7 linked regions of the Nothobranchius furzeri genome follow. The protein of the gene in region 1 purifies or fractionates together with the protein of each later gene. This does not show direct contact. Links are inferred from orthologs where the notes say so. Each region holds a gene or a part of one and is shown on either strand. Other genes may lie near its edges.

The links.
Region 2: the proteins of grb2b (region 1) and dock4b purify together in Homo sapiens (co-immunoprecipitation; 4 studies listed by BioGRID and IntAct, counting the BioPlex papers as one, with this or other methods). This does not show direct contact. The link is inferred for Nothobranchius furzeri from reciprocal best matches to the Homo sapiens genes GRB2 and DOCK4.
Region 3: the proteins of grb2b (region 1) and peak1 purify together in Homo sapiens (co-immunoprecipitation; 3 studies listed by BioGRID and IntAct, counting the BioPlex papers as one, with this or other methods). This does not show direct contact. The link is inferred for Nothobranchius furzeri from reciprocal best matches to the Homo sapiens genes GRB2 and PEAK1.
Region 4: the proteins of grb2b (region 1) and ubash3ba purify together in Homo sapiens (tandem affinity purification; 3 studies listed by BioGRID and IntAct, with this or other methods). This does not show direct contact. The link is inferred for Nothobranchius furzeri from reciprocal best matches to the Homo sapiens genes GRB2 and UBASH3B.
Region 5: the proteins of grb2b (region 1) and ruvbl1 purify together in Homo sapiens (affinity purification with mass spectrometry; 3 studies listed by BioGRID and IntAct, with this or other methods). This does not show direct contact. The link is inferred for Nothobranchius furzeri from reciprocal best matches to the Homo sapiens genes GRB2 and RUVBL1.
Region 6: the proteins of grb2b (region 1) and ptpn12 purify together in Homo sapiens (affinity purification with mass spectrometry; 3 studies listed by BioGRID and IntAct, with this or other methods). This does not show direct contact. The link is inferred for Nothobranchius furzeri from reciprocal best matches to the Homo sapiens genes GRB2 and PTPN12.
Region 7: the proteins of grb2b (region 1) and bcar1 purify together in Homo sapiens (affinity purification with western blotting; 3 studies listed by BioGRID, with this or other methods). This does not show direct contact. The link is inferred for Nothobranchius furzeri from reciprocal best matches to the Homo sapiens genes GRB2 and BCAR1.

The regions. Positions count from the first base shown.
Region 1 is NC_091752.1:67,730,130-67,734,328, reverse strand, and holds the start of grb2b (growth factor receptor-bound protein 2b), read left to right. Parts: upstream 1-1,399; 5' UTR 1,400-1,537; intron 1,538-4,199. UniProt on the Homo sapiens protein: Non-enzymatic adapter protein that plays a pivotal role in precisely regulated signaling cascades from cell surface receptors to cellular responses, including signaling transduction and gene expression.
Region 2 is NC_091741.1:52,226,587-52,229,226, forward strand, and holds the end of dock4b (dedicator of cytokinesis protein 4b), read left to right. Parts: coding exon 1-16; intron 17-1,521; coding exon 1,522-1,977; 3' UTR 1,978-2,140; downstream 2,141-2,640. UniProt on the Homo sapiens protein: Functions as a guanine nucleotide exchange factor (GEF) that promotes the exchange of GDP to GTP, converting inactive GDP-bound small GTPases into their active GTP-bound form. Involved in regulation of adherens junction between cells.
Region 3 is NC_091754.1:44,457,005-44,460,977, forward strand, and holds the start of peak1 (inactive tyrosine-protein kinase PEAK1), read left to right. Parts: upstream 1-1,173; 5' UTR 1,174-1,593; intron 1,594-3,973. UniProt on the Homo sapiens protein: Probable catalytically inactive kinase. Scaffolding protein that regulates the cytoskeleton to control cell spreading and migration by modulating focal adhesion dynamics. Acts as a scaffold for mediating EGFR signaling.
Region 4 is NC_091750.1:47,686,099-47,689,396, reverse strand, and holds part of ubash3ba (ubiquitin-associated and SH3 domain-containing protein B), read left to right. Parts: intron 1-2,323; coding exon 2,324-2,377; intron 2,378-2,514; coding exon 2,515-2,701; intron 2,702-3,298. UniProt on the Homo sapiens protein: Interferes with CBL-mediated down-regulation and degradation of receptor-type tyrosine kinases. Promotes accumulation of activated target receptors, such as T-cell receptors and EGFR, on the cell surface.
Region 5 is NC_091743.1:48,433,299-48,436,483, forward strand, and holds part of ruvbl1 (ruvB-like 1), read left to right. Parts: intron 1-640; coding exon 641-727; intron 728-1,406; coding exon 1,407-1,539; intron 1,540-2,245; coding exon 2,246-2,397; intron 2,398-2,677; coding exon 2,678-2,767; intron 2,768-3,185. UniProt on the Homo sapiens protein: Possesses single-stranded DNA-stimulated ATPase and ATP-dependent DNA helicase (3' to 5') activity; hexamerization is thought to be critical for ATP hydrolysis and adjacent subunits in the ring-like structure contribute to the ATPase activity.
Region 6 is NC_091741.1:48,575,403-48,579,524, reverse strand, and holds the start of ptpn12 (tyrosine-protein phosphatase non-receptor type 12), read left to right. Parts: upstream 1-1,322; 5' UTR 1,323-1,542; coding exon 1,543-1,644; intron 1,645-4,122. UniProt on the Homo sapiens protein: Dephosphorylates a range of proteins, and thereby regulates cellular signaling cascades. Dephosphorylates cellular tyrosine kinases, such as ERBB2 and PTK2B/PYK2, and thereby regulates signaling via ERBB2 and PTK2B/PYK2.
Region 7 is NC_091754.1:40,234,318-40,238,391, reverse strand, and holds the start of bcar1 (breast cancer anti-estrogen resistance protein 1), read right to left. Parts: upstream 2,801-4,074; 5' UTR 2,199-2,800; coding exon 2,187-2,198; intron 1-2,186. UniProt on the Homo sapiens protein: Docking protein which plays a central coordinating role for tyrosine kinase-based signaling related to cell adhesion. Implicated in induction of cell migration and cell branching. Involved in the BCAR3-mediated inhibition of TGFB signaling.

The sequences.
Region 1 (4,199 bases):
TAAATGGTGATCTTGATTTAATTAAAACAAATGTGTTCATTGTCTATTTTTATAATTTGGAGATTTATTTTCTTCTCTATCAGATTTTCCCCCTCATGTGATTTTATTTACTCATCATTGATCCAGTTTTCTCTGCCTCAGTTTTCGCCCTACACATGATGAATGAACAACGTAAAAACAATATGAAAAAAAATAAAATGAGGACTAATAAAGACAGAAACATCTCTTTAAATTGCAATTAAATGTTTTGTTCCAATATTTTACATGAATTTTCATTTCACACTTCCTACCACATGGGTGGTTGCTCTTCCACTAGACCTTCAATCCCATAGACATGAATCTGTAGATGCCACATTGGTTTTTTTTACTGAACACATTTTTTATACAACAAACAGGGCAAACGTCCTATCAGTATCTAAACGTGTTGAATCATCTTTTACCACAGAAATATAATAACAAACACTAACGTTTGTAACTAACATAAAAACATGAAAGTGTGAGAGCCTTATTCTAGAAGTTTGAAAAAGACGCCCCATTGGGTGCTGGAGGGCGTAAAAACATTGTTGCCATATTGGAAAGGTTCCTCGCTCTCCAAACCCAACTGAAGTCAATGCAGAGTGGGCAACTATGCCTGGTTTTGTGCGGCCTTCATTTGCAACAACCAGCGACAATTGTAAACAGATCATGTGGTTACTATTGACTTTTCTAGCCTACCTGATGGTATTTTATATAGTAATTTTTTTTGTTTAATTATATTTATGTTTTAATGGTCATGCCTTACCATATGTCTGATTTTGTGGAAACAAAACTTGATAAAATGTGGGGTTTTTTTGTTTGTTTGTTGAGAGTAAGTATCTTCCTCAGTAGAAATTAATGTAGCGGGGCGAATGGAGACCCATCCAATATGGCGGCCCGATGCTACACCAGCGACAGACAGCAGGCAGCTGTGCTCAATCCAGTGCTGTTGTCATGATGGTATCTTCCCACTAGGGGGCAGCCTTTTAAAAGCATTTGATCTCTCCCGTAAAACAAAAATTGAAAGCAGATGTGCTAAATAGTGAACCACTCAGTTGGTTGTAGACTGGCGTATCAAACATTATCGTCTGTTTGCCTAATCCCTTACTGCAGTTTTTTTAATCTGGCAGAGAGGTACTTTATTTTTAGGTTTTGGACAAATTTCACTTTTAACACCATAAGTTTCAGTCTGAACTGATTCGGGTCACCAGATAAAGTCCCTATAATCACATATCAACGTTTTTCCAGTCTGTTTAAAAGTGTCCTGGCTGTGGATGAAACGGTAACAGAGGTGGCTGGGTTGACATGGACTGTTGGGAGGAGCTCGGGTCTGAAGAGCACCAGCTCGGCAGAAGGAAGCGGAAATAAACGCTCTGCTACCAGCTAGCTTCGGGCTCCTAGGACGGGCTGTGAGCGACGCTACACACTGTTGGTTGTCTCTTATGGGGAGCAGGGAGAGCTAAACAACACGGTAACGTTTTGTTCCCTACGGTGGATTCTTCCCAACCGATCGTCGCAAGCGGTAAGACGCCGTTACCGTTTCGCATAAATGTGGTGTACAATAAAGTGTTTTCTCACAGAGTCAAGTTCACGATAGCAGCTGTAAGCTAGCAACAACAGCTTGCGCTAAGAAAAAAGGTGTTTTCTTCCTTTTTCCCGTTTCCCATCATGAGGCTTTCTATCGGGCTTTAATCATCACTAATCTTTTACAACCCCCTCTAAACGTCGCCTTCTGCTGTTCTATCTAATGTAGTCCGTTCGATAAGTTTGATCATCACACTGCATCGCAGTTATTGTTGACCGAACGTTAGCCGGGGTGCTAACGTTCTAGAACAGTGGGCGCAGTCTACTCTCTGGAACCGATTCGATCCCTTTACACGGGAAGCGGTTTTAGACGGGTTCTGGTGGCGGCATCGCCACTAACGCGACGTGCGGGCTTGGGTTTTGTGTTTAAAGTTGGGAAACGACGCGAAGGTGAGACATTTGGGCAACTGGCAGCTGTTTTTCTGTCGCACCTCCGTCTCATCATCCATTTTCATGACCTGATGTTTAATGACACCGCTAATGTGCTTGTGTGATCCTTTGTGTTCAGCAGCCTTTTATCAGTCAGGGCTCGACTTCCTCAGATACAACAACTCGTTATGTGACAAAAAACCTCCTTCATAACACCGTTAGTGTCCCACGTAATGCCGTTATTACTAACTAGTAAACTATCTACCATCACTAACTTATGCCTTGTATTTTTATGCGTCTTGCAGAATTGCAACACGCTTGTTTGTTATGATTATTATTATTAGTCCTCTGCCAGCATCTGGCTAGCTGTCCACGTTTAACGGCCTTATTTGGTAGAGCTGTGTGGGTGTGAGCTCATCAGTTCTGTCCCCATCACCTGTTAGCAAACGAGCTAATTGGATAAGGCGACTATCAGTTCAACCCTGCAGCAAAAGGTTTCGAGCTGTCTGCGTTAACCCACTTATCTCTGGTTGTTGTTCTCAAAGGTTTGTTGGGATTATCAGATTGTGGCCTGACCCTTGGACCAAACCCATATGTTCTCCATTAATATTAACTAACTGCTATGAATAGATGTTCCCCCTAAGTGTTAAAAGCGCAGTCTGATGAAGCAGAAATCATAAACAATTTTCCTGTGAATGTAAATATTTGAAAAACTTGCTGTAGAAGTGGTTAGTGGTGCTGATGGGTTTTTTTTTTCCCCTCATTTCTGTTTTTCGGAGGGCTTTGCATTTAACCAGAGTTGTATTATAATTTCTGTTTTGGCCTCAGAAACCATTACATGTGTGTGCCATCGCCTTTTCCCTTTGCAGACATACAGGGTGGTTCTCAGTGTCAAGGCGCCTTGCTTACGAGGACACTGTCCTTCCTTGGTCAAAGAAAACGGTTAAATGGAACAGACTTGCATCACATGACACGGGAGATAACGTTATATTTTCTACGTATTAGTTTCAATATAAATATCTAACGAGTCTTTTACTTTTTAAATTGTGTATATGTTTATTAAATTAAAAATATAAGTGAGTTACTACCCGCTAGCCACCGAAGCTGCAACTACTAAGCAACTAACCAACCATAGATAACTTCTTTGGATATAAAAAAAAAACATTTTAAATTAGCTGACTTACTTTTAAACTTGAAAATTTGTCCCCGAAGTTGCTGCCGGTGTTGCGCCAAAGTAGTTACCCCCGTCAAAAATTGTTTCCCCATTCACGGGAGCGCGCAAAGTAGGAGGAGGCACTAGCCCAGCTCCGTTGGGAATACTTTGTATAGAAAAACACTTTGATACTATAATACTGTAAAACCAGACGTGACCATGGAAACACGTACAGGGTATCCGCGGGTCCTTAAAAAGTCTTAGAAAGTCTTAAATTAGCTTTTCCTAATTTAAGGCCTTAAAAGTCCTTAAAAATTACAAATAATCCTTAAATCCAGTTTCCAAAGGTCTTAAATGACCAAAGACCCAATAAACAAGATTCTTTTATTTCTATAAAAATTTCGTGAATCTCTAGTTAGTGTTCAGCATTTTTTGTGTACGATGTTGCCGTAAGCGGAACCGTACGCAGTCAGTTGGTTGTGAAAGGGGGCTATTTTTAGATGAGCACATTAGCTGGTTAAGCTGGTGGGAGCTTGCGCCATGGGGAAGGGCAAGTTTAATGGTAACTGGATGGCTAATCCCACGTTCGCGACGTGGTTAGCACCGGCTCCAGGCAAGAGCTGGAAATTATCGCTTAAATTTAATTTTTAAAATAGCTTAAATTTGGTCAAAGTGGCCTTAAAAAAGGTCTTAAAAAGTCTTAAATTTGGCTCCCTTAAATCTGCAGCTACCCTGACGTCGCTCTCCGGTGAATTTACTCTCGGTTTACACTTTGTTTTTGTTGGCGTTGTTATCACGAAATCGTTTATTTGCTAAATAAGTCACGATATAAGCAATAAGTACAGTAACTTTGAAGATGATTTCTTCTTCACAGCAAAAGTTATGGAGGGATACAGATTTTATCAGGCTGTGTGGCCTGATGAAATGCATTATTGATGGGGGGGGGGCACACATTTTGGCAGCCGAGGCCACACAGCCTGATAAAATCTGTATCCCTCCATAACTTTTGCTGTGAAGAAACTCTCTGCAACGTTACTGTAGTTATTGGTTATACTGTGATTGATTTTGCAGATAAACT
Region 2 (2,640 bases), on another chromosome or scaffold:
CAGATCTCCTCAAAAGGTCTCTTCTGTTGGTTTTTATTTTTCCTTTCGTTCCTATATTCTTCCCCAACGACTCACCGAATCGGAGGTTATTATCCTACTTTGAGTCAGGAGAGGCTTTGCGTTAATGCTCACTGAAGCTGCTAACAGCTCCACTGTTGCTGATTTAGTACTTGTCATGTCAGTGGTCCCAGAAGGGCCTCCAGAAAACGGGACTGGCTGCAGGGCATTCGTTGTTTTAGCTAAATATACTCTAGCCTCTAGGAGGTTGTCACCTGATAACTGAGAATCTAATATACCAGAGGACCTTGAGCTTCTTTGCTGGTATTTTTTCTGTAAATATCATCTACAAAAACTGTTTGTTTTTCTTCTCTCTTTGATAAATGCCGCTCTGAACATTGACTTCAGTTTCCATCAACCAAGCTGTTCAAACGGGTGTTTAATATCTCTGACCTCATAGGGTATTTTTTTATTTATGTTTCATTCTCTCATCTACAAATAAACTGATTATTCTCAGTTTGACTCCAAGCTCTGATTTATCGTTAATGAGCCTCTTATTAGTTAATACCAGCCAGCAGAAGAGGTTTAGGAAAGGTTAAGTAAGCTCCAAGAGAGCTCTTAATGAGAGGAAAACCTTATCTAGGCTCCTCTTCTGCTTGATCTTTGTGGGTATTTTGCAAATAAACAGTGCTAAGCTTCCAGCTTTGCTGCAGGTGTGATGTCTCCTCGTGTGTGACAGCTACCAGGTTGTGCGTGTGTGTGTGTGTGTGTGACAGTGTGTGTGGTCTGCTTGTAAAATGGGAAAGGAGATACCAAAGTGTGAGTGACAGCTTGGCACACAGCATGCTCTGTCAGTCAGATTTGTGTGTGATGGAGTGTGTGCATGTTGTCACATTTGTGTGTGTGTGTGTGTGTGTGTGCACATGCATGCGTGTGTGTGTGTGTGTGTGTTGTTGTGGAAAAAGATGAGGCCTGGAGCGAAGCACCAAGCTGCCCATCACTGCACAGCAAACGATGGAATCCTCTGTGGATCTCCAGTGGGGTCCCATTATCTGGTGCATGAACATACACACACACACACACACACACACACACACACACACACACACACACACACACACACACACACACACACACACACACACACACACACACACACACACACACACACACACACACACCAGTTTGTGCAACCAGGGGCCCATTACCAGCCTGCAAACCCCAGGGCAACAAAGAACCTGCAGAAAATACATGTAGGCACTCTGACAGAGCTGCACTTACTCATCCCTGGAGGCAGAAATGAAACTTGGGAGAAGGTTGTCTTTGGGAGTTGAAGTTATTTACTGTATTAAATGTCAAGATTTTAATCTTGTGCAAAATAAACCAGGGGTGGGTAGCAGACGGGTTACTTTGTCTTTGATACAGGGAAGTTCCTGATCCAAACATATATTTAACATGTCATCTGGAAAAATGCACTATAGATAAAAGGAAACATAACTCCTGTTATGTTTTGTCTCTCCACAGACTGCAGTACCACCTTTCACCCCGTCGCCAACTGAGTGCCAGTCGGCCAGCCTGGTCTCCAACTCCCCCGCTCTGTCTGGCAGCTATAGCAGTGGCATCTCCTCCCTCAGTCGCTGCAGTGTGTCAGAGGCTTCAGGCACTGAGCTGCCCATTGGAGACCACACACCGCACCCACTACCCCCACCTACCACCTTACCAAACTCTGTCTCCAGCAGCTCGGATGAGCCGATCCGCAGGGAGAACAAGACCCCACCTCCCTACAGTGTCTACGAAAGAAACAACCCCCGCAGACCTGTGCCGCTGCCACATAGTCTCTCCATCCCCCCTCAAACGGACCCGCCAGCCCTGCCACCCAAACCTCACCAGCTCCGCACAGGCAGCATGAAGCTGGACGGAACCGCCGACCCTCGAGTTCCCAGACCGAGGCCTCTGCCCAGGAAGGTGTCCCAGCTATAGGTGCCGTTTCAGGGTGAAGGTGAAATAAACACACACTGGCGTATTTTGCACTTTTATACCCACTTTTATTTGTGATCTTCAGTTTGGCATTCCAACACTGCAGTGGAAAACACCTAGAGGTCAACAGGTGATCAGAAACAAACTACCAGAGGAAGAAAGTTCCCTTTCCTAGTCACTAGAGGCATTGCAATGACTTTGATGTGGTCTTTCTGCACTTTTTATCTCTAGTATGTGCAAGTCACCATAACACGTGTTTACCAGAACCTTCTAGACAAATAAAACACAATTTTGATAGAAATAATAATCTCAGATATATGTATATTGGTATATATGACAATTGTTTTTGCCTTAAGTATTGAAAACAGAGTCTTTTATCTGAGTCTTGCACGTTTTTTAGTTTTTTTTTTATAACAGTATATTTGTATACTTTATAGCTTAAAAGGTGCTAGAGGCCTCGAGTATGCATTTCAGTGACGAGTAGAAGACAGGGGTGTGTTCTCATAGTTGTTTTCCTCAAGGGTGCAAAAAATTAGAATAATTATTTATATAAAATTTTTAATAAAATTGCTTCATTACCTGTTTTTGTGCCTGATGTAACAATTCTGACAAGCTAGGGCCATGTTTGGTCTTTTTTCTGCAGCAATATTCAACAAAATAGTTGTT
Region 3 (3,973 bases), on another chromosome or scaffold:
CTCATACTAGCCTTTAGCTCATCAATCTATTAATTATTTCTTCAAACGGAGGCCCTTAAAAGGCCTTTCTCAACACATTACTGTTAAAATCTTTACCTAACTCACATCATGTCTAACGTTTCAGGTTGGTTCACCCCTCAGCATCAAACTGTCATGTACATCTTTTCCTGTCTGAAAATCACCAAGGATGGTCTTTATTTTCCTGGTGGAATAACCAGGAAAAGGAAATGTACAGAAGTGTGAAGGTTTGTGAAATAATATATTCATGAGTCACTTTAAAAAAGTTTTTACACCTTTACAAAAATCACTTTGAATCTGGATTTTCAGTTTTCCAGTGGCTTCATTTAGCGATGTGATCATTACAGATCAACATCAGTCATATTTTAATGCTTTTGCAGTGGTTTCTGATAGGAATGAATGCCCCGTGAGTTGCTCTGTGGGGAAAAAGCTCAGATGTTTCTGTTTGAGAACATAGAAGTCAGCTGGAGAAAGTGGCAGAAATCAGGGTTTAGAGTCTTGTTTCCTGATATTCAGACATCTCTCCTCTAATTGGCTAACAACAACGTGACTCCACCACTGACTTTGTTTGCTCTACAACGTTGATGTTTTATCTCCACAAATAACACTGGAGGGGTTCTACTGTGTGGTGGAGCTAATGCTAACAGGTAGCTTCTACTAGCCCAGACGTTCTCTGCTGTTTCCTGGACGCTAAGCCACCAACAGCCTTCCCCGTCGTGAGTCCAGATGGGTGAGTCCATGAATGTTAGTGACAGTGTGACGTAGATCTGTCAAGCTTGTCTAATCCTCGAGTTTCACCGTCTGTTTTCCATCAGAAGCTTAAGCAGGAGATAGGTGTAGGAGACTATTTTCATGTTCAGCCTGCATGAAACACTCAAGAGTGAGTGATCATTTTCACAAATAAAACTGGTTTCTCTGTTAACCTGGCCTTTAAGCCTACACGTCATAGTGCTGGTTTCAGTTAGGGGTTCAAACACTGAAGATGCAAACTCTTTCAAACACCAGCAAACCTCAAGCCCTTGTTAGAATTAGAAGCACCTGCAAGATCCGTTAGAGGAAATAATAATCGCACGGTCCTGGAAGCGTGTGGAGTCTGGGAAAAGCTATTTCATTCAACTGAGGCCATTCCAGCAGGTTGGTGTAATCCAGTATTTTTACATAGAAGGCCTCCCAGTGTGGTGTAACTACACATGAACCGGGAGCACTTTGTGTGCTGACTTGTACATTTGTCCAGGTAACGGTTAAAGGTGAGCGCTTGTAAGTCTCGAAATCTCATCCGAGTCAGTTTAACGTCTTTTAGGTGACGCGCGTTCACGAGCCTTCCTGGCCGCCCTGTTATGCCGTGGAGCTCGCTCCCGCGCCGCGCCAGCCACGCAGAGGGGAGACGGTTCGGTTCGGAACACCTCTGGCTCTCCCGGAGTTCGGCTTCGGTTCTCCGCTCCACGACGACGGTTGTAAAAATCCGGGATCTGGAATTGTTCGAGAAGCCGAGAGGAGCCGCGCGGAGAAGCTCCGAAAAGTTGTTCAGAGCTTCCTTCCGTTCCTCTGAGGAGAGAGTCTCCGCCACAAGTCACGGTGGGTTCTGCTGGTTCTGGTCTGGTCTGCGCAGCGGCGGAGTGTGTCTGATAGATCATAGAGGTGTGTGTGTCACACACATGATGAGAGTGTTGGTTCTGCGGTGTGTGAGGACAGTGGAACTTCAGCAGCTCCATCTGCTGCTCTAGAACACGGTCTAAAGACCCAGGAACGGTTCAGATGAGAAGTTTAGCCAGAGCAGCTGATCAGAGAGGAGCCTGTGTGGGACGGGGCCCCCGGGGGGGCCCGAGCACCGCAGAGGGGTTCAGGCCTGACCAGGGGCTCTCCTAGGGAGGGGCACACCAGGCAGAAGGTCCTGCATGGTGGTAGAGCTCAGCAGCAGCTGTGACAACAACAGTTATTCCTAAGTGGACAAGAACAACACAACAGCAGTCGTAAATAAAAGCGGCGTGTTGTCCCGGGTCAGCGCGCACCAGAAGAACTTGTGTTGCCAGTTTGTGGAAGATGATTTCGCTCCAGCTGTGTCTGTCTTTTCGCGGTGGAACCCATCTGCATGGTTCTATCTTTGCTGTTCTAAATGTTCTGCAGTGTAACTGCTCACCCTTTCACTTTAACGTGTTCTTTAATGACATTTTCTGTCACACCGCTTTAATGTTCTTGTTATTGTTGCTGCTGGAAAGCACATGGAATTACCTCTGTGTACAGCTGCCTCGCCTAAACCATTAAGGCTCGAACCCGAACCCTAAAAACACCTGTGTCATGGTCTGCGTCTGCCCCTTCCTTCATGTGCCTCCTGGCTTTTCTCCATCCCCTCCGGATTCCCTTTTGTGTCTCTTGGTGCCCTCATGTGTCCTTGTCCTTGTCATGTGTCAGTTAGGTGTCTTATGTTGTAGGCTTTAAAGTCAATTCCTCCCAGGTCCTGTGCCATTCCTGTGCTCAGTGTTTGTGTGTATGTGTTTGTGTGAGTCCTTCCCTCAGTTTTAGGTTTAGTTTTGGGTTTGAGGTTATCTGCCCTCCATTGGTTCTGTTTCCCCCATTTAGATAATTGGTGTCACCTGCCTTCCCTCCAGCCCTCACTCCACACACACCTGTTTCCTGTTTCCTTAATTGTTCTCCCTGTGTATTTAAGCCCTGTCTTGTCTCTGTTTGGTGTCGGTCCATTGTTTGTATGTTGTCAGCATTTGCCCGTGCTCAGTGTGAGGTTATAGTCTCCAGGTCTTCGTGCTCTTGGTTGAGCTTTTGGTCTCTAGGTTTTTGGTTCTCTAAGAGAGCTTTGGGTGTCCTGTGCTCATGGACGTAATTTTGGGGGGGGACAGGGGGGACATGTCCCCCCCACTTTTTCCAAAGTCAAGTTTTGACCCCTGCACTTTTTACCATCCAAAAACAATATTACGCTATATTAAATTGACACTGGTTGAGCTCTAGGACCAAGCAGAAAGCAACCGTTTGTGTTGAAGCCTGTTTCCCCTTAGAACATATTGTAAAGATACCCCCCCCCCCCCCCACACACACACACACTTCTAAAGTGAAAATTACGTCCTTGCCTGTGCTCCAGGACTTTTTGGATTTTGGCACGCTGCCTTAGATTTATTTCTGTTTCCTTTATCCTGCAAATAAAAGGATTTTTACTTTGAACCAACTTCTGCCTTGTTTCATCCTGGGTACTGCATTTTGGGTCCTACCAACACTGAATCGTGACAACCTGAATGCTGCTAAAGCTTCAGGTCAAGTCACGGTGTTCAGTGTAAATGAGTACACCCTCTTTAAAAGTACAACTGTAATCTATATCTCAATGAACATGTTCCGTAGAACTATATGGAATCATGGCTGATATAAGTTTGACCACAAAATCTGCGGTTTTACCTGAGTTAGCTGAAGCAACAGTGCCACAACGTAAAGTACTACCTCCAGTATTTTGTAGGGAAGTCCCGTTCCACTATCGATATCGGAAATAACGTCCCACAAGTACTGTATCAGATTATATCGGACTGCATCAAAAGTGTATTTCCTGTTAAAGTCTAAAAAGACAGTTTGGCTCAGTGCTACACTTGTCATGCACAGGTCTCCCGTGGTGGAACAGAACCGCTGCGTGTCATTGTCATGTTTAAGGTTCACATGTCTGCAACCAATGGTTAATAACATGGTTGCTTTTTTCATAGCTGCTGTTGCTGGATCTCTGTTTGAGTGATGTCACTCGATCAAACCTTTTGTACGTTCCACACAACAAAACAGGTAGAAGTATGGATGATTTGTGCCGATACCTTATCAGATTGATCTTGGTATCGGTCAGTATTGAAGGCTGCAATATCGGTACGGTATTGGAAGTGAAAAGGTTTATCGGGACGTCCCAGTATTTTGTACGACTGCCGTGATTCCTAAGGACAGAACCAGTGACGTGTGGTGAGGTCCATGACTGGGG
Region 4 (3,298 bases), on another chromosome or scaffold:
GTCTTTAGACGAGACTTAAAGACTTGAAGGGACGGCGCCTGCCTAATGCTCAATGGCAATTCATTCCACAGAGTTGGAGCAAAAACAGAAAATGCACGATAACCCCTTGATCGATATTTCGACCGGGGGACCACCAGGCGTCCCTGCTAGGCTGAGCGAAGAGACCGAGATGGAGCATACCTGTGCAAAAGTGCAGTAATGTAAGAGGGGGCACTGCCCTGGAGGGCCTTATAAACGAGAGTTAAGATTTTAAATGTAGCTCGATATTGCACCGGGAGCCAGTGCAGAGTATCCAGCACTGGGGTAATGTGATCTTGGCATCTAGTACCTGTCAGGAACCTAGCCTTTGAGTTCTTTACAAATTGGTGCTGTGCAACCATGCACTGGCCCAGACTGGCATACAGAGCGTTACAGTAGTCCAGACGGGGCAGGACAAAAGCATGCAACACAGACTCCAGATGAGCTCTGGACAGCAGAGGCCTGATCCTGGATAGTTGTTTCAGATAATAAAAAAACAGGACCTCACCACCGTATTTACGTGAGTGTCAAGATTAAGTGAGGACTCAGTTTTTATCCCCAAATTACTGACTATTTTCTTTTCATAGGGGGTCAATGGGCCAAGGTCAATATCAGCACCTGAGCCATTTCTTCTGCCAAGATTAAGTAATATGACTTCCGTTTTGCTCTCATTTAGGTGCAAAAAAATTAGAAGCCATCCAACATTTTATGTCCTTCAAACAGTCCAGTAAAGGAGAAACAGATCTGTCCTCCCCACTTCGAAGGGGGAGATAGATCTGGCAGTCATCAGCAAAAAAATGAAATTTCACATTATGCCGACGAAGGAGGACTCCAAGAGGAAGAAAATACACTGCAAATAGGAGAGGACCAAGGACAGAGCCCTGTGGCACACCCCAACAAAGTCTCATGCAGGCTGACATCACCTCACCCATCTGAACACTAAATGTCCTGTCATGAAGGTAGGAGCGAATCCATTGGAGGGCCTGCCCAGTTATCCCCACCCAATGCTGTAGTCGGTCCAGAAGGACTTCGTGGTCGACTGTATCAAAAGATAAGTCCAGCAATAGTAGGACAACATCGTTATCCATGTCACAGGCTAAAAACGTGTCATTAAAAACCATTAAAAGAGCAGATTCAGTGCTGTGACCTGCCCTGAACTCTGACTGAAAGGTCTCCCATAAATCATTTGTGTTCATAAAGGTTATGTTCTTGTGTGATTGTTGTTTTGTTTCCCCAATGTAAAGATCTGGACAGTCCTCACTACAATGGACAGCATAAACGACGCCACTGAGCTTCTGTTTGGGTGTTTTGTCTTCTGGATGGACCATTTTCTGTGTGAGGGGTGTTGTTGGGTTTAAAGTTTACCGGGATGTTGTGTTTGGAGAAGATTCTTCTAAGTTTATCTGAGACTCCTGCCACGTATGTGATGATGGTGCCTTTGTGTAAAGGGTGTTGTTAGGTTGGTAGCAGAGCTCTCATGGTTAGTGGTAAGTTCAGTGAGATCATGGAATGGGATCAAGAATTTTCTACTGACAGGAAAAAGATCTCAGCTAACATAGCTGTAGATCACACTGGATAACCCTCTGTGTTTGCATTTATTTTACTACCTCTTACTAGAGCTGTCGTTAGTAAGTGCAAAGTCAATTTGGTTGTACACCTGTGCAATAGCAATAAATTATCTTGAATACTGTTAAATTTACTTCCTGAATGAGTGACTTTTAAGGCTAAAACAATGGCAGAAGGACGACTTCTTTCCTCTTTTGTAACTCATTGCATCACCACCAGGTATCAGAACAGGACTCAGTATTGGAAGATAATCAAACAACTTGGACTCGGATCAGGGGCAGAAATGTGGTTGTAACATATCTAGATATAAGTCAGATTTATAAACTAAAACAATTATTTATTAATTAACATTAACACTAACATTAATTACACTAATTGATATATTTTTATTATGTTGTTTGAACCCAAGGGTCTCATTTTCTGTTTTCTAACTTGTTGGATTGTGAATCTGTTTAAAAGTTTTGCTCTATAAGTGCCCCTTTTTTTTACTTTGAGCACCCACCCCGTCAAAGGTCTCTGCACGGCCCTGCTCGAGACAATCAGCTTTGTTTTCTGAGCTGAAGATTCGTGCACCTCTGAATAATGAAGCTGAGTTACCGATGATTGTGTGTTTCCTCCGTTTGGCCAGTTGGTTTTAGTCATGTGGAAAGATGACGTTTACTCAGAAAAATAAGCAGGTCTGGAGCAGAAGTTGCTGATTTTGTGACTGATTTCATCTTTCTTTCTTTCTTCTTTTCAGATTAAAAGCTTTAGTGTCAACAGGAGGCAAAAATGTCCAGGCAGCCTGTGACTGGTGAGACACATTAACTAATTTCTCATGTTAGAACCGAGCAGGAACCCAAACTGCTGTTCTAAAGGAAATAACCCAGCAGTTACTCAGCATCACTGCCCCCTGCTGGACACTGTCTGATGTCTTTTCCTAATGTCCAGGCTCTTCTCCCACCTGGACGACCCGTTCCTGGATGACCCTCTGCCCAGAGAGTATGTGTTATACCTGCGACCCAGCGGACCTCTGCTCCAGCAGCTCTCACACTTCTGGAAGCAGTCTCGCCTTTCCTGTGGCAAGAACAAGGCCCACAACATCTTCCCCCACATCACCCTCTGCCAGTTCTTTGTGGTAACGTTCACCCCTTCTGTTCACGCATCAGTCCTCAACCTAAGGGGCGCGGATGCTCACGAGCACCAAACATGATGTGGCACGCTGTAGTTAAACCTGATGAATAAGTGTGTGTGTGTGTGTGTGTGTGTGTGTGTGTGTGTGTGTGTGTGTGTGTGTGTGTGCCTGTCTAAAACAGAAGTGATCACATGAACTGGTGAGCCTCCGTTTTTGGTTTTCAAATCTTGGCTGTTTGCTTCCAGCTGTGCACATCTGCATCTGTCTGAGAAGCAAAACCACACAAATCATTTCTAAAGTTGAAACTAATCCTAACTAACAAGTGTCCAATCCGTCAGGTGGTGCTATGCTAATCCATCTTTAGGAGCTTTAAAGTGGGCTGCCATAAAATATTTTATTTTGTATGGTCACACGTATGACCTCATGTTAGCCATGTTGGCGGCTAACTTAGCCACACCATCAGAGTAAGCAGCAAGTACATAAACCACACAGGTGGTGCTCTTGTCTGGAATTCTAACGGTTTCCTCCTTGGAAAACCTTCCTCGGAGCCGGAGCCCACCGGGGGATGGGTGGGGGTTTAAACTGTCGGGTTCTGTTGGT
Region 5 (3,185 bases), on another chromosome or scaffold:
CATTTCACCAAATGCACTCAAGTCAACTTTCTACTGGTGTGATTTGTTCCAAAACATGGTTTGAGGGGAAAAAGACTTTAATTAAAAATGGTTTTATATTTATATTCTGCACACTGATGTCTGAATAATTCCTCGTTTCAAAGACAAATTCTCAATCGTTTACAGAGAAAACACATGCAGCTTTAGGACGCTCCATCATTCCTCTTGATGTTCAGCAATATAAACAAACAACTGTCATTTTAGAAATACATGTAATAAATTACACAACTTTTTTTTTGTCCCTGGTAAAAAGTTTGTGAATATCACCAAAAGATATTTAGCTTGTTTTAACATTTACCACCTTATTCTTGTGGGTTTTCAGCAAAGCTGACTTTAATGATCACCAGATTACTTAAATTTTGTTTGTTTCCCATTTCATATCTGCTTTTTAAATGTGATTGTATTTGTTTTATACACACCCTTACACAGCTCTGGATAAACATCGTAGTGACACTCTCTCACTCTCTCTCTCTCTCTCTCTCTCTCTCTCTCTCTCTCTCTCTCTCTCTCTCTCTCTCTCTCTCTCTCTCTCTCTCTCTCTCTCTCTCTCTCTCTCTCTCTCTCTCTCTCTCTCTCTCTCTCTCTCTCTCTCTCTCTCCAGGCTTGTGGCATCATTGTTGAGATGATTCGCTCCAAAAAGATGGCAGGAAGGGCGGTTTTACTGGCAGGCCCACCCGGAACAGGAAAGGTTAGTGTGCAGCGTTTTAAAGTAGAGGTTGACCGATATTGGCTTTTCTATTGCCAATAGGTAAATGTCACAGTTAGCCGATGGCTGATTTGTGCTGCCGATATTTTGGACCGACTTTCATAGCCGATATCTAGACGTTTTCCACCTCATGTTTTTGCTAAATGTTACAAAAACAACAGCTGATGCACAAAACACTGAGTTTAACCAGCTGTTAAATCTTAATTTTGTGCACTGCTCGGTGTTCAAATCAGACATCTTACTAAAATAATCTAACAAATTAGTAAACTGACCAAGTCTTAAATATTAAAAACTGGTAGATTAGAAATCCTAGTTGAAAATATTTTTTGAGCATTTATTAGGAGATGTAATTCAGCAATCATGTAAACAAACAGTTAAATAAAATTGTGCAGCAGCACCAGGCTGCCCGGGGATGTGCCTGACTTTAACTCGGCTTTACTAAGGAGGTGTAACAGCCATCAGTGTGAATGTGTGTGTGAAGTGAATGGATGATTGATGCAAGTGCGGGTCATTTATCATTTATAAAAAAAATTGTAAATATCGTCCTGATAAATCGGTCTAACCGTAGTTTAAACAGTTTAGAGTTACCGTCTGAAACTGCACCAAGCATGGCTTTTGTTGTTATTGTTATTATGGTTATTGTGACTTCTGACCCCTGCAGACTGCCCTCGCTCTTGCTGTGGCTCAGGAGTTGGGAAACAAAGTGCCTTTCTGCCCCATGGTGGGCAGTGAGGTCTACTCCACTGAGATTAAAAAGACAGAAGTACTGATGGAGAATTTCAGGAGAGCAATCGGTGAGTGGAATCGGATTTATGAACTTAGTTATGCAGTTCATGGAGGAAATGATCAGACTTTTCGGACTTTTTCAGTATTGGGTTGAACTTCTGTTTTGATTTGAAGCAAAGGCAACTAGCTAAACATTAGCTGTGCTTGAGGTCAGAAACAAAGTTTCCTTGCAGCTTTAAGGAACTGAGTGAAAATGAAAAGAGAATGACTTGTTCTGTTGTGTTGCAAGGTGGCAGGTAGTGTCCAATTCATAGGGAGGGATTTATGTGGGAGACATGATGAAGGGAAGGGATTTGTCTGACTGCTGATAGTACCTGTCGAGTGGAGAGGAAATGGAGCTTAACTAGAAGCAGAGGTGGTCATCAGCACCCTTGCTCCACCCGTACAACAGCATCTGCAGCTTTTCATCACCTTGTCACTAACGGCTCTGCTGCACGGTCTGCTTTAAAAACCGCCCTCTGACCCTCAGCACAGAGGAGCAGGCACCTGTGCTGCTTACACGCCACTCTGTGTGGGAGTGTGATCATGTTACACTGAGTGATGCACTGGCATCACACACACACACACACGCACGCACGTTCTTTCCTGTAATAAAATCCATTATTTGGTCGTCTGAAAGATGTGAAGGCTTAGCCGATGCAGGAGCATAAAGACCTGATTGAATTCTCATTTTGAAGCGTGTCTGGGTCCGACTGTACCGCCGCTCTCCTTTAGGGCTGCGCATCAAAGAAACAAAGGAGGTGTATGAAGGCGAGGTGACGGAGCTGACTCCCTGTGAGACGGAGAATCCCATGGGCGGCTACGGGAAAACCATCAGTCACGTCATCATCGGGTTGAAGACGGCCAAAGGCACAAAGCAGCTGAAGGTCAGACTGGGGGTTCAAATCTGCATCTGTAGTTCTTTCATCACCGAGAGTCAAATAACCTGTTGCTGCTGACAGTTTTGTGTACAAACAGTGAGATGATGATTAGTAATGTAGATAAAGATGACTTAGAAGTGGTTTCCAGGTTTCTGGGTTAAAGATGAAAAATCCGTTTTCATTAGGCTGCATACTTGAGTTCTGTTATTACATTCTTATAGAAGTCCGATTTAATCAGTTTTGAACAAAATCATTAAATGTTGATGATGCTTTTGTGTTTGTTCAGCTGGATCCCAGCATTTATGAGAGTCTTCAGAAAGAGCGGGTGGAGGTGGGAGACGTCATCTACATCGAAGCTAACAGTGGAGCTGTTAAGGTAAATGGCATAACCATGGAAAACCGGTGCACTAAAACACACACACACACACACACACATACACACGTGCTAGTGACAAACTGGGTCACATCAACACATTAATGATTTATTTTTCTTTTTGATCATCTGCATTTTATTATAATTATTAGGTAAAAATTGTAAATGGCCTTTATTTAAATAGCACCTTCTATAGTTCTACAACCGCCCCGAGGTGCACAACAACACAATCAGCCATTCATCCATTCACACACACTTTCACACGCTGGTGATGAGCTATAATGTAGCCACAGCTGCCCTGAGGCACGTAAATCCTGTGTCTAGAAGGTTTTCTGCTTCAGAGTATAAATCTAGATCTTTATTACAGAAACATTTATGTCGGTAAAGTTTACTCATCTGATTCTAAGCAAATGTTTCACCA
Region 6 (4,122 bases), on another chromosome or scaffold:
AATTTGTTGCTTCCCTGTGCAATGCTCTTACCAGACAAAAGTCACGGCCATCTTCTTCCACTGAGGCTCAGCTGTGATGTGACTCACTTCCTAAAAAAGCGAAGAAAACACTCCCATTTATTATCAAAAACAATAAATGGGAGTCTGTGGTGATAAAAGTTATTTTCTGATCCTGTTCGATATGTGTCATGGATTTCACTTATAGTTTGTGGGAATTTTAATGACACATTTTGATGCCAGGAAAGTACTTATTCACAACAGGCAACAAAAGATCCTTTAGGTTTTGTGTGGGAAGATGTACTGCCCGTCCCAACAATTTTACATCATCAAACCAAAGAGAAGAAAAATGGCTTTGAGTTTAGCGAGCTTCACATCCATCTTCCAGGACTAAAGAAGGAGAATTAAACATAAGAAAATCACTATAAATCTGACCATGTGGAAAGTGTCAGAGTCTGCTGTGATATCATAAATGAGACTTCTGATTTGTTGTCTTTTTATTAGAGAATTTTTTTTACAAACAAATACATTTCAAATTGTATGACAGACTGAGTTGAAACGTATAATTATCATTTTAACTGAATTACAGCATATGTGTAATAACATTGTAGCCTCATTCGCTGGAAGGGGACAGTTCATGTCAAATTCTGCATGCTGAATAAATAAATTGATTTGAACCTTTTGCTGATTATATTGTTTTGTTAAAAGGAGATACGTCTGTTCATTTTTCTGAAGTGACAATAATACACATTACATGGATATCTTATTTATTTATTTATTTATTTATTTATTTATTTATTTATTTATTTATTTATTTATTTATTTATTTATTTATTTATTTATTTATTTATTTATTGATTGATTGATTGATTGTTCCCACTATGAATGTTGGATGCCTGTGGCTGATAAACTGAGAAAAACAGGCATAAGTTTTATCCAATCACGCGAGGCCGTTTGGTAGAGCTGCAGCCGTCTCAGCCAATAACATTCTGTCACACGTTCTCTTGCTACCAATCAGAAACAGGTATATCCTGGAAAAGGCGGGACTACATCTCGTCGGTTTTGCCCAGTCCGGATGTTCTCCAGTAGCGAATAACGAGCACTAGTGTGAATGTGGCAATCGAGGTAGACAGGGAGGGGTACAGAGACTGACCGGACCGGGTTTTTTGGTATTTTTTCTTTATTTTGTATTTTCTCGCCGAGCCTCGTACTGACAGTTTATTCCACGCCGCGGTTGTAAACTTGTTCGAGGGGCTGGCTAGCCGGCCGTTGCAGCTTTTCTTTGGGACTAACTGCTGTCGTGAAAACAGTCCAGAAGAAAGAAGGAAAGGCAGAAACAACATGGGGCGATAATAAATAAATGTGCTGTGTTGTGGACCGACGATGACTCTCTGGGAGGACCCGTGAAAGCCTATTTATTTTTATTTATTTCCCCTTCTCCCTCTCCTTTGTCCTCTGCTGTTTTATTTTTAATGTTCTCCTCCCCTTGTTAGTCTGGGAGATATATTTAAACGGAAAAAGGCAGCGTTTTAAGAGGACTGAAAGATGGACCAAGCCGGCATCCTGAGACAGTTTATCCAGGGGGTGAAGACCATGAGTGAAAGAGACGAGAAGAGGGGGGAGGACAACTTTGGCAGCGACTTTATGGTGAGCCTAATTCAGCAGGAGTCTAAAGCTAGACTTCTTAATTTTTCCTGTGTCAAAATATCCACGTTTTCCTCATGTTGACCCTTTATATCCGAGCCCCCTTTCCCGTCTTATGGTTCCCTGTATCCCCCAGGAGGTGAGGCGGGGGCGGCCACACTATGCCCACTTCCTTTTCCTCCCATTTCCAGCCTTTATATGGCGGCCTTGCATTGTCTCCCGAACCGCACAGAAACGCCACCAACTCCTGTCTTCAAATCAAAGAGGCAAACAGCAAAACAAGTCACGTCACCTTAAAGCCATTAGATGTTTTTGTCTGGCATAGCGAAGAGCAGCTTTAGCTAAGGCTAAACTGGGATGTTCTGGTGTTTCCTATTGTGTTATTCTAACAGATCTTAGGTGCACACTAGTTCCTCTACCTCCAAGTTCCTTTGTTGTATAAATTTAAATCTACATCAAAAATACAACTGTACTGGGAACACGTGTTCTGCAGTGATTGATAGACTCACCAGTATTTGCATCTTCACTTTGTAACATAACACATCCTGTAATGTGAAACTACACCATCTAAAATGATAGCTAAGTTTAATTTAAACAGTTATGTGTGATAATCACGCAACTCAGTGCAAATAGTAATACCCAACCACAAAAACTACCACTCCCCTCCTCTACTTCCCTCTCATAATCATCAGCTGCAACTTGTGTCCTGGGCATGCCTGAAATTAAATATCTGAGCCAGTGTTGAGCCCTTTTTTGTAATTGTTTGTTGATGAAGTCATTTCAAAACCACATTTAGTTTGTTTTGTGATGACCACAGACTGCTCTGTAATGGGTCTGCCTCTCACTACATGTCTGGATGTTGCAGTTCTGATCTCCTAATTGGACCTCTCCCACTCCTGGGCTTGTGGCTGAAATAGTCACAACATGAATGACACGTCCATAATAGCTTTTGTGCTCAAGTGGCCACTTTAGTTGGGTGGCTTTGATTACAATGTTTCAAAATGTTATGTTAAGGACAAACATTTAATTCCACGTTTGTGATTTTTAGCAATCTGAAATATTGTAAAAACTGTTTTTCAAATAGTTGAAATACAAACTAACCAATATGTTTTGTTTCCGGGAATTAAATGTTTTAGATTGAGTTGGTTTGGAGTCCCATCCCTGTCAGAGTTCTTTTGCCTACACTTGCAAACAAACACTGCTTACTTCCCTGCTTCATCCAAGCTGCTTGCTGGAGCTTGCAACATTCTTTCTTGGCCTATTTCATAACATTTTGTGCTGGCTCAATAGTGGAACTTTTTCAACTCTAATTCATACTCTCAAAAACATTAACTAGAACTTCATGTCGGGCTAGTTGTGTCCTCACTCCTCAGACGCTAAACTTATCAATTCTATGTAGGAATGCACAATATATCGGCATCAATATCGATATCAGCACTTGTAAGTCATTTTTTAACATATCGGTATCAGCCCGATAAATAAAACCAGGCTGATATTAACAACCAATATTTTTTCCATCTTTCCATTTGTTTATCTTTTTCAGAGGGTGAGGGAGGTCATGTGTATTTGTTTAGTCATGTGACAGTTATTTTAATCATCGCAGAAGTGTAAATGTGTGTGGTGTGTGTACATAATAACGTAAATTCAGCTTTAATAATTTTCATTCTGTACAAAATCTGGTGATTTTAGAAGCATTAATGTCAGTATATTGGTATTGGCAAATATCAGTTATCAGCCATAACAGTGATTCATATCGGATATCAGTATCCGCCCAAATATTTCAAATCAGTGCATCACTAATTCTATGAATAGTTTTAATTTCAGAAAATCAAATTGGATTATCACATAAGGCATTCAGAGATTGGATAAAAGCAGAAGAGCTGCTTTTAAGTTTTATTGTGGTTTATTTATCATGTAAAGCTGTTGTTGCAATTATTTTACATTAACATTCTGAGAGTTGGTAACCTGATTGCATAATCACAACTTGAACACTGTTAGAAAGCACAACTCTGCTGGGGGTACTAGACTATGTAATATATGTATTTTACCAAAGTTGTCCATCCATCTTCCTTATATAACTGTATATTTCTAATTGTATCTGTTTTCTGAACCAAACGTATCCAGAGTTCATGTTTTAATGATTTAATCAATCAATCAAAGCTTTATTTATAAAGTGCCTTCCGCAACCCTGTCAGGAAGCCCAAGGCCCTGAACTTGGTACAGTAGAAGGTAAATATATTGAATAAATCAAAAATAAAAGCAATTCAAATTACACAAAAGGCGAAACATTCTAGTACAGGACAAATGTGTAAAACAATGGATAGAGTGAACCAATGAAAACTGTAAAATAAATTCAACATAAAAGAGGGCCAAAATCAAACATGTTCAGGAAACGCCAAGCGGAGGAGGTGTGTTTTTAGGCGACTCTTGAAGACTGGCAGAGATGGGGACAGCCTAACTGATGGTGGCAGCTCATTCCAG
Region 7 (4,074 bases), on another chromosome or scaffold:
TTCCATTTAGACAACCGCGCCTCCACCTTCTCCAGCACCTTCTCCCAGTTCTGTTTCTGAAACCTTTCCCTACCCAAGTACATGCCTAGTGTTTTAATACCTCCCGTTCCCCACCTCAACCCTTCTGGCAGAGGCGGGACATCACCAAGGTCCCACCCCCCACTACACATGCCTCACTCTTGTCCCAGTTAACCTTAGCTGAGGATGCTTTCTCATGTAAACGTAAACTAGATCTGAGTTCTTGTACATCCTGCTGATCATGGATGAAAACATTCACATCATCTGCATAAGCAGACACAACTAAGGGAGGACTGGAGTCAGGTAAAGGTAGGTGTACACCTTTCAGCCTGTTCCTCAGCCGACACAGCAGCTGTTCAATGGCTAAAATATACAGTTGTCCTGAGATGGGACAACCTGTCTGATTCCTCTTAGAACTGGTGGGTTGGCTCAGGCCCCCCGCTACCTTCACCATACAGCTGACATGACATGACAGCATCTTAATCCCTTCCAGGAAGGACCCCCCAACACCAAAGGCCTGTAGCGTAGAGAACAGGATCTCATGATCAACCCTATCAAACGCCTTTTCCTGATCAATAGAAATGATACCTGCGTTTACATCATACATTTTACAAACATCAAACACATCTCTCATTAAAAATAAATTGTCCATTAATGACTTTCCTGGTATACAGAAGGACTGATCGTCTGGGATTAGACCTCTGATGAATCCCCGAAGTCTATTAGATAGGAACTTAGAAAAAATCTTATAGTCTGAACACAACAAGGAAACTGGTCCCCAGGTTTTTAGTTGGGTTAAGTCCCCTTTTTTCGGCAGCAGGGACAGAACGCCCCAACTACACGATGCAGGAAGTGCTCCTGTCTGAAGTGAGTCTCTAAAAACATCCATCAGGTCCTGTCCAATACTGCTCCAGAAGAATTTGTAGAAGTCAGCGGGTAAGCTGTTCATCCCCGCAGATTTACCTGCAGCCATCTGGGAGACTGCCGTTGTAAGTTCCTCCATGGTTATGTCTGCATTTAAGATTCCCTGGTCTACTGTGGTCAAGGAAGGAAGCCCCTGCAACAGCTCTCTGGCACAGTTCACATCACATGGGGCGGCCTTAAATAGGCTGGTATAGAATTCTACTGCATGCTTCCTCATCTCCACTGGGTCTGTGGATAACTGTCCATCTGACAGACGCAGGCCAGCCATTTGTTTTTTCTGGTTTGAAGTCTTTTCCAGGTTAAAAAAGAAGGATGTCAGAGCATCCATGTCCTGTATTGTGGTGAGACGAGCCCAGATCAAGGCGCCTTTGGCCCTCTCTTGCAGGAAATGCCCAAGCTGCTGTCTTTTTTTGGTCTAAGGTGTGCTGTTGTTGAGTAGTAGTCTAGCACCCTGATGTCCTTCTCTAGATCTGCCATAGTCTTTCTTATTTGGTTTGTAGACCCCCGCGTGTAATGTTGACAGAAAACTCTAATTTGTGCCTTCCCTTGTTCCCACCATTCACTGATGGTCTTAAAATCATTCTTTTGGACCGCAAAGCCTCCCAGAACAGCTTAAAAATGTTGCAAAAGGTAAGATCGTCTAATAACTTTATATTAAAGTGCCAGTAGGATTTTGTCGTCCCCAACAAAATGAAGCATCAGTTCAGTTAGAGAGGAGAGAGAGAGAGAGAGAGAGAGAGAGAGGGAGAGAGAGATCCTTAGGCAGTGTTTGTGAAACAGATCCTTTGGAATTTGATGGAAAATAACTCAACAAGCTCGAGCAAATGCCTTATTCCACACACACGCACACCTGCACACACACACAAACACACACACACGCACGCACACCTGCACACACACACACAGTGCTATCAGCTGCTCTGCTGAGCTGACTGGCCAGGTCTGCTGGAATGAAGCCACCAGACCCTGGCTGACATTGGCCTTCATGCAAACAGCCTCCCGGAAGGGGCGGGCTGCTCCTTTAAACCCGCTGGAGCTTCATGTAGGCCAAAGACAAAGAGTAACATGTCACCACCAGCACATATCACACACCGTGTTACAGTAATATGTGTGGGCTCACATGATAACATCTTAATTACTGTAGTGCTATGGAACCGGGCGGCCCGGGCCCAGGCTGTTACAACCATTAACATGGAACACCGGAGCAACGACTGGGAACACCAACATGCGTCTGACATACTTACAGGGATAGACATTTTGCTGCAGCTGTCCTATTGCGCCTTTTCCTGCCAGTTGCGTCTCTAGCGGGTTTTATGCACAGCTGCGCTGGCGTCAGCCGTTCGTGGATTCCATGGAAAAGACTCCTGGTAGGAAAGGAAAGCTCCCAGCGGGAGGAAGAGGTCGGGATTTGTCTCAGTCCAGCTGGACTGCTGCGTAAAAATGCGCCTCAGAGGCGCAGATCTGCAGCAGCGGTAATGCGATCGTCCGTATGACCCGCAGACTTGACGGTTCTCGGTCCTCCCTCAAGTCACTCTGCCTCGGACTCACCCCCCACGGACGCGCGGCTATAACAGCTGGAGCATGAAGCAGCTGCGGCTGGAGGCCGAGCGGAGCGGGTGGAGCACAGCTGGCTGCTACCGTCCGCCCACCACAGGCTGGATCCTGTCCGCTTAAAGGGCCCGAGCCCCCCTCCCATCCACCATCTTTGTGTGGTTTGGGGCTACTGAGAGACGGGAAGCTGATTAAGAAGTTCTGTCCTAGCATGTCCCCTTGACCCAGCTGGGGGTGGGAGAGAGGACTCTAGTGAAAATAACATCACTGTTGGACAGTGTCCTCCATCCCATGCATGAAGCTGGTGTGGAGCTGGAAGCTCCTTCAGTGCCAAACTGCTGCATCCTAGGTCCATCCTCCCAGCAGATGTTGGACTTTATAAACACCAGTGCTCCCAGCAAAACCAGTAAACAGTCTCTTGCATTCCTTCATTCCTGCTGCTTTTATGATTTCCTCCTTCCAATTATCCTCTGTCTGCTTCTTTTTCAGCACATCCTGAGCTCCTTCAAAGGAGTCTCCTACCATCTTTACGCAGATGACATCCAACTGTACATCTCCTTTAAGCCCCATGAGATGTCTAAGCTGCAGCTGTTACACACCTGCTTAGACTCTATCAAAACCTGGATGGCTGGGAGCTTTCTACAGCTGAATGAAGATAAGACTGAGATCCTCATCTGTGCCCCAAACAAGCTGGTTCCCAAAGTCAGAGACTCTCTTGGTCAGCTTGCTTCTCACACCAAACTCTCTGTCAGGAATCTTGGCATGACCTTTGACCCAGTTCTCACCCTGGATTCTCATGCCAGTTCTCTTTTTCGCTCTTCTTCTTCCATCTCAGGAACATTGCTAAGCTGAGTCCCATTCTGAACTTGAGACTTCTCCACACCTTCATCTCCTCACGCTTAGACTACTGTAACTCTCTTTTCACGTGTCTGAGCAGAACCTCCCTGAACCGTCTACAGGTGGTTCAGAATGCCTGTGCTCGGCTTCTGACCAAGTCCTCCAAACACACCCCCATCTCCCTGCTTCTCCTCCAGCTTCACTGGCTGCCAGTCAACTTCAGGGTTCATTTCAAGATCCTGGTTCTGGTCTATAGGGCCTTACATGGACAAGCACCATCTTACATTGGTGATCTTCTTAGTCCCTACACCCCCAGCAGGTCCCTGAGGTCCAGTGATCAAAGCCTACTGGTTGTGCAGCACCAGGCTAAAGACCAAAGGTGACAGATCATTTGCTGCTGCGGCCCCCAGACTCTGGACCTCTCTCCCCCTGAGATCAGTGGACTCAGTGGTCTCCTTTAAAAAGCAGCTGAAAACTCACCTGTCCAGGCTGGTTTTAATGTCACCTTCTGCTGAATCTTCACTAGTTTCTCTTCATGCTGGTGTTTGTCAGTTCTTTTTCATGTTCCTGTGATGACATTTTCTTTTTTATTCACATTTTTCTGAACTGTTTCCCATTTCTCCCATTTTTATTATATAACAATATATATTTAATTTTTTTTCATTTATTTTATTTTCTTGTGAAGTGCCTTGTAGTTTTTATCTAGAAAAGCTCGATACAAACTTTCTTCTTCCATCAAAGTTG